Bombyx mori: one gene and its partner. The protein of the gene in region 1 binds, or shares a complex with, the protein of each later gene. Links are inferred from orthologs where the notes say so. Each region holds a gene or a part of one and is shown in the gene's direction. Other genes may lie near its edges. The genes, in order: WASH complex subunit 4 and WASH complex subunit 3.

Region 1 (3,936 bases):
TTTCTAAAAAAGTACCCTCTTCACATAAACCTTTACCTTGTCTGTTAAAAAGTTTCCTGAAATTCAAACAATTACAAGCCCCAACTCATTCTTTTCAGGTGCTTCCTTTATTTGGCGCTTCTTATGATTCTCTCTTACTTTCTCCAGTGATTTGCTTTTCTCTTGGCATTGAAAAATCTGATTTTAATGCCAATGAAAATTTTAATTGCAATGTCAATAGTAAATGGCCTAACTGGCATCAAATTTATACAGATGCATCTAAACACTCCAGTGGGTGTGTTGGTGTTGGAGTGTATCACAAACAGTACAACATAGTTCAGAAAATTAAATTACCTCCGGAATCATCGGTCTTTACCGGTGAATGTTTTGGACTATTAAAAGCTCTTGAATATGTGCTGTCTTTCAAACTAAAAAAAACCGTTGTATTTACTGATTCCTTAAGTGCATTACAGAGCTTAGCAAAATTTTCACTAAAACTTAACCCTTTTTTTCATGTAATATTTGAATGTAAGAGAAAGCTGTTGCACTGCCAATCACACAACTATTTAGTATCATTTTGTTGGGTACCTAGTCACTGTGGCATATCTGGAAATGTGAAAGCTGACAGTTTGGCCAACAGTGCTACTGTGACCGGTGACGTATACCCGTACAAGAATTTTGGCCATGATCTTGCTGCTTTGCCCGGCATATGCCTCCACAAATCGTGGAATATGTGTTGGGAAGAGAGCGGCCGGATTAAGGGTCGTTTCTTGTATGCTATACAGTCTTCCGTTCCCAGGAAGCCATGGTTTGCCAAATTGTCGTTTGGTAAAACCGCCACTTCTACTATAATTCGTATGCGTCTGGGACATAACAGCCTTCCAGTTCATTTGCACAAACTTGGTATCGTAACTGGTACCGCCTGTGAGTGTGGCGAGAGTTATTGTGACCTGAATCATATTTTCTTTGCTTGTTCTTTATATGATCATTCTTCCTTATATACTTCTTTAGTATCTGTCTCTGTTCCCCTTCCTACTAATATTTCTTTACTTCTTCGAGATTTTAATCCCCTTGTATATAGTATTTTAAGTAGGTTTATTTTAAATAATAACATTAAACTATAATTTTGATTTATTTTCCCTGTTATATAATTATTCTGATTTTTTTTGTAAATTCAATTCGTTCTAAATCATTTATGTTTTGTTGCGATAAGTTTCCTTCGTTTTTTATTATTTATAAACTGTAAATAAATAAAACGGCGAATTATAAAAACATTATTACTTGACGCTGGCTAATGCACAAAACGTGCCAGAGCCAAAAATAAAGAAGAAGAAGAATAAACATCAACAAAAAACATTTTAAACAGAATTATCGTAATTAATAGTCAACAAAAAGTACATAGTGATTATTTCTTTCAATATTATTTTAATCTGAAATACAAGTGCATAAAAATGAAAAGTGATTTCGAGAAAGAAAGTACAAGCAATATTTTAAAAAAATATGGCATATTTTTCAAGATGCAGTATCAGGTTTTGGCATTCAATTGCAATAATGAAATACTAGATGATAATAAAACATTTTTGCCGATTCAATTACTCATGAGTCCACACGAGCTCGTACCAATTACTGAGTTAGTAGTATCGGATAACACATTTATGACTAAAGTTTTGAGTGTGTTTACTTCCTTATGTGTTGAAGTAAATAACTTGAAAGAGGAAGCCTTTGAAAAGTGAGTTTTATTTATCGAGTTTCCGAAAATCCACAGTAATAATAGCTATGATTGAACTTTATAAAAATTCTCATTTTTATGAAGAAACATTCCACAGTTACGTCTAAGCAGAAGTGTAAACTTTTAATTATGCAAGTGAATGTAGCAATATTTTAATTGTGTTTCAGGTATTTTATCTACTTGGCTGCTTATGAAAAATATGAAACAGAAGATGTGAGTTCCCAGATGGAAATGATATGCTTACTCTGCGCATTTATCATTCGATGTGATGAAACTTTAAGAAACATGTGCAACCAAGTTTTTGCTTTGTTTTCCGATGGAACTGTTAATCTCAGTGAGTTTACTATTAATTATTTTTGTTCAATATTACATGGTTAAATTAGCATATTATTTTTTTATTTGATTAAATTTATGCTATCACTGAAAGTAGATAGCCCCGACATTAGTTGTAAATTTCGAATTATTAAAATGAAATTATTCATTAATGACCTTAATACTAACATGATATTGTAGATTGCATTCAACTACACTATATCATCAACCACATTGGAGAGATATTTACTATTCTTGTCTTACTTGAAATACTGATAGCCAATACTTCAATGCCCACAAATTGGAATAAATTTTGCAAAACATTAAAAACATACCATAACAAGAACTCGGCAGCTTTAGATATTACTGAAGAGAAATTTAATGCAATGATGGGGGCTATTAATAACATCACAGTCAAAATAATGAATGATGATATTGTACAAAAATCATTACAAAGTGTATCACTATTGAGAAAGAACTTGATTGACAAGAATTGTTCTATGATAGCAACAGAGTTTTCACACTACCTTAAACAGGGAATTATAAATTTGGACAAACTTGTACAGGAACAACCCAATGTTCGAAATATGTACAAATGTATTAAAATTAATAGTTTATTTGTATTGTCTTCACAATTGTTTGGTAATGTAGACAAGAAGATATTTAAGTCATTAGTGGAATTGAACACAAAGGTTGGTGTTAATTTTATTTATAGCAATTGTAACTTTTGTAACATTTACACATGGCACAGACAGAGAGCCAGCTGAAATGAATAAAGTTTATACAAACAGTCTTATTTTTCAGGCACACAGTGTTCATGTGATTGGAACAACTATGTGGTATCCTGAGCAATTTCTACAGAAACATGCCCCTGCACTTTGTGCAAAACAGGAAAAATTATCACAAACTATGTTGAAAACACGGCAATCGTATATCAATATGAAAAAAACTAGCCTATCTCGTGATATAATTAATCTTCAAATAGTATGTGGTCAATGGGTGTTAAATATTGAAGATTTCTTTTCTGCTGATCATCATAGGCTTAGTGCTGCTGAAATGAATTTACATTCCAGAACTCTTTTAAATGGCTTGGACCTAGCATCCAGAATCAATCATGAAGTTTTGACATTGATAAATTTACATCTTTCCCTTGGGATACCTCTTCCAAAGAGTATGTTAATGTTGGTATTTGAGATAATCAATATTTTAAAATCAATGCTGAATGCAATATCACGGCATAGAAGCCAAATAATTTTATCTATCAATATGGTCATTCAACATTTTGTATTCCAAGCAACATCAACAATATTAGAAGTAAAGAAATTATTAGTTTCAGACAAGAATTTCGCAAATAAAAGATTGGATGAACTTACATGCATCGTTATTGCAGAAAAAGCACTTCGTGGCGTAGCTACAATTGAACGAAATGTAGTAGCTAACACAGCACTGAGCTTTATACCTGAAAGTACTTATTTAGAAGACAGCTATGTAAAGCTTGGTTTGTTGTTAGAGAATGTTCAAACATTGACAAACTTGATGAAATCAATGGAAAGTTTTTGCAATTGCTCTTGGCTGTTCTGGCATCAGAACATATTTCCAATTTACTTTGATCAAAACTTTTCTATGCAATTGAGTACTTTAAAATTAAAATACTTCTTAATGGCCTTAGAAGACTGTACGGTGCTATTACATAAAACAGATAAATTATTTGATAGTAATATAAAAGAAGATTTTATGGAAACAGTTAAAAAGTACATGGAACAAAAATTTATCAAAGGTGCAAGTCAGAATATTGAAACAAATTTACGATTGCATATACATTCACATCTTCAACTTGATGTAATCAATCCATTTACTTTTGAAATGGTAAAAAAATTGCTTCTAGCAATTAATACTTTTAGAGTTCAGTACATTTA
Region 2 (3,936 bases), about 9.8 Mb from region 1:
CAAATTGATCTTTGGCAGTGGTCGAACCAAGACTATACAAATCGGTTTATTCTAAAGGTGAAATTATTCCATTTCGAAAAAGGAAGTCCTTCGAAATAGCATACATGTTCAAGAAACAACGAAAAAAAAACATTTTTATATAAATCTCTCAGCGGTGACTGCGCATTTTGAAGCAGACGAGAATATAACCCACATTTGTGAAGTGTGGTCGTTCAGACCAGCAATACCAAAATGATTATTGAATTTCTTTCTCTAGATGTCAAAGCTAAAGCGATATGAATCTTTGTTGTAAAGGAAATGGTCCAAGAATTAAAAAAAGTAAGGTTATCATAATACTTACAGCTTCTCTTACTCCAGGATCGTCATATCCTTGGTCTATATATGGTAATGCATCTACGACAACTTCTCCTGCCATTTTCTACAAAATTTATAACTCCCTTTACTACGAATGGGTACTGTGATTTATCACTTTATATTAAAGTTTTAACGCTGTTCTTTGTTTATTTGATTTTAGTTGTGTCACTTGTGTGACATTCTTCGTTTGAGCTAGTTTTAAGCCTAAAATGAACAGGCAAAAGAAATATAGTCCATATAGCTAAATCTTTTGAATTCCTCGATATTCAATAAATTGATATTAAATTAATATTATATTATAAAATGGAATTTAATGAAAGAAGAACACATCGAGTAGATATTAGATGAGTTGATAATGAAACAATGGTGCTTACTGAGAGATCAACGAACTTATTTTGAAAATATTCTCGAGTGGCAGCCACACACGACGCAGCTTAGATAGACTTTCGACGAGGTGAACTGACGTCCTACTGAAAGTCGCAGGAATCTAATAAATACGGTCGCTGCACGTCTAGGAGTGGATGATTTGTGTGAACACGTCCAATGTTTGTTTGATTTTTTAAAACTTGTGCCATTTCACATGTATTCAGTGATTAAAAAGCTTTCATTACTACAAAATTAGACATTTTATTACAGATACATTCGCGAAGCAGTTGCCCTTAGCTGTTAGATCTCCTACGGAGTCGTGGCCAGGTCAGGCCTTCGGTACTTTGGAGGATTGGCTTGTGCGGCTTTTCGAAGCCTGCCTTGAGCCCGGACGGAAATCGGACAGATTCATCCTTCTGAGGAAAGAGGAGCTCCTCTAGGAGTCATCCGTGGTGTACCACCACATCGTGTTGCTGGACGAAACTAGAAAATTGTTGGAGCAAGTCGTGGATGCGTCATCTGCCCCATCCCCAGGACGGGTTCCAATCGGTCAGCCGAACAGTACGGCTTCAGAAAGGGCCGGTCTACCATCGACGCAATCATGCGTGTGTGTACCCTCTTTGATGAGACTGTTGCCCGGGGCGAGGTGGCAGTTTCCTTAAAGTCTCAGTAAATAACCATCATTTTACTTAGATTTCACGCCAATTGATTATTGTTTCAAATTAATCAACTCTATTTCATTTTACTTCATATTATCATTTTTCATAAAATACAATGATAACTTAGGCTGTATCGTATGATACTTTTGCCTTTCCAGTTGGAAAAATAGAACTACTACAAATATTGACAGTGGACAGTAGCACTATTGTCAAAGAATAGTGTTATATTGATAAATGTAAATTAATGATAATAATGTCAGACTTAGGTGGTGGTACCGTACCTACTGTACCTACTGAAATATTCCTTTTAATTTGCTTACATACTCTTTTAACGTAAATAAATAGGTACGACTGTCACGGAAGGAAAAAGATTGTTATTGTAAAATAATTAGGTGCTTTTTATATTAAACTTAGTGTAATTAAAACTCGTGGACCTATTAGTCAATGTATTGAAATGTAATTCAATTTGGTTTTTTCAGTAGAACAAAACAAATTCAAGCTTCCAAACCACAAGACAAATTTCTTTTTCGTCTTGTTTATATTCTACTGAAAATGACCATCCAAGAAGATTTAACTCAATCCGAATCCCCACAAACGGATTTAACTAAGGTTTTAAATTTGGAATTATTATTATTTGTTGTAAAATTTAATGCAGTACAAACTTCACGGCCTTGATTATCTTTATAAACTTCCTAATTCTAGAAAACACAATATTTTTTTATAAATGAGAATAATTTATTTTTAATATTTAAAAAACAAATTGCAGGTTGCGGCATTACATCAAAAACGTACATTGGCATTTGTAAATCATTTCCTAACAATAAATGTACAATTTCTGAATAACTTTATGACGAATTGCGAGCAGAAACTGATGCAGTTTGAGAGAAAATTAGAAAAAGTTAATGCTGCCATGGTTTTGTTAGAATCTAAGGTGATTATATTTTTATAAATTATTGTATGTAAACAAAAACGGATATCTAAAATGTTTTTATTTTCTATCATTAGTCATAATAAACCATTTCTGCAAGACCTTCTCTGGAAAGCTGTTGATTGATCTGATAAAGTAAGAGCAGCCTATTGATATATTTGCAATGCATAAAGCTTCAATTGAATTAAAAAAAAAACGGTCTCCTACCAGATTAGAAATTAGACTACTACTAATTTTAAGATATGGCATCATTGCATTTCACCATAATCCTTATTCAGGTTGTGTTTATGCCATTTCTTTAATTGCCCATGTGCCTCAAAAACTTCATTTTAATTGATAGCATACATCAAACCGATACATAAATAGATAAAACTTATTGATTTCAGTTATCTTCAATACCAGAATTAGACATTCCTAAGCAGACAAATACAAGTAATGTTACAGAGACTGAATCTACTGAAAGTCAAAATGAAACAGAACTCCAAGAAGAAAATCTAGAAAGAAAACTAGAAGACCAAGCCCCAGCAGAAATGAAAACTAAACCTGAATATGATAAATTTGTTAAAATGGTTCAAGTAGGAGTGCCATTGCAGGCAGTGAAACTCAAAGTCTCGTTAGAAGGTCTCGATCCTGAAATACTGGAGCAATTAATAAAATAAAATAATATTTTATTATTTACATTATTGTGTTGTTAGCATAGTATGATCAAATAACCATAGTGTGTAAACCATAGTTTACTTTTATAGAACAAACAATAGAACAGTGTATTCTGTGATACCTCTAATCTAATGGGATCATAAGTGTAAAATTAATAAAATAAAATAATATTTTTTTTTTGTTTAATTGTAATCAACGTATAGTTTAGAAAATATTATCTTTTATCTATAAAAATATCATTCTAATTGTTAAAATTGTAATGTTTTTGTTCTTATCGTTTTAAATAATGTAATAGGCTCAAATATTTAAGTAGCATTCCTTAATATTTTTATGAAATGTTGAAAATGTTGTTTTTAATAAAGGATTTTATAATCATGCAAGATTATTGATCACATAGAGGTGGACCTAGAAAAAAATCATTAAATACTTCTGAAAGTTGATATATGCTTACTATTTTAATTAATTTATTTTGTGAAACATGTTGTATGCGATTTATTCCTTTTTTTGCAAATAAATAGTATTCTTATAGGGGTAGTAGGTGTATTGATTTATGAGAGATTTATTTGACGTAAAATTGGCCATGTCAGTTAGATTGTGTACAATCATGCTACAGAGATACTATTATATTATATTCTAGTAACAATAATAGGCACCTATAGGCATCAAATGTTGTACCATCCTAAGTAATTGCAGAAATAGTTCTCTGCCAGCACCCTGATAATAAATAAAAATAAGGCTGGCCATACCATTAATATTTTTATGAGACATATTAATTAATGCTAAGCATGATTTTTTTATTCCTACTCATAGAAGTTATAGTTATAGTATTACCATACGATGTGGATGGTAATAAAGTATAGGTGCAATAAATGGGAGGTTTTAAGGATGCATCTGGTCCAAAGTGGTGACCTTGATTACATATTGATAAAGTTCTTAGAGCAAAACCAAATTAATCTGAACTTTTTGTCGAGT

Evidence for each region.
Region 2: WASH complex subunit 4 (region 1) and WASH complex subunit 3 share a complex: the UniProt entries of both Homo sapiens proteins name them as parts of the WASH core complex. The link is inferred for Bombyx mori from reciprocal best matches to the Homo sapiens genes WASHC4 and WASHC3.

Annotation. Positions count from the first base shown.
Region 1 is NC_085118.1:10,740,458-10,744,393, reverse strand, and holds the start of WASH complex subunit 4, read left to right. Parts: upstream 1-1,430; coding exon 1,431-1,708; intron 1,709-1,875; coding exon 1,876-2,042; intron 2,043-2,221; coding exon 2,222-2,712; intron 2,713-2,824; coding exon 2,825-3,936. UniProt on the Homo sapiens protein: Acts as a component of the WASH core complex that functions as a nucleation-promoting factor (NPF) at the surface of endosomes, where it recruits and activates the Arp2/3 complex to induce actin polymerization, playing a key role in the fission of tubules that serve as transport intermediates during endosome sorting.
Region 2 is NC_085118.1:942,987-946,922, forward strand, and holds WASH complex subunit 3, read left to right. Parts: upstream 1-1,575; 5' UTR 1,576-1,724; exon of another isoform or gene 1,725-1,771; intron 1,772-1,858; 5' UTR 1,859-1,931; coding exon 1,932-1,988; intron 1,989-2,145; coding exon 2,146-2,310; intron 2,311-2,693; coding exon 2,694-2,966; 3' UTR 2,967-3,339; downstream 3,340-3,936. Other genes in the region: pre-mRNA-splicing factor SPF27, read right to left, coding at 341-415. UniProt on the Homo sapiens protein: Acts as a component of the WASH core complex that functions as a nucleation-promoting factor (NPF) at the surface of endosomes, where it recruits and activates the Arp2/3 complex to induce actin polymerization, playing a key role in the fission of tubules that serve as transport intermediates during endosome sorting.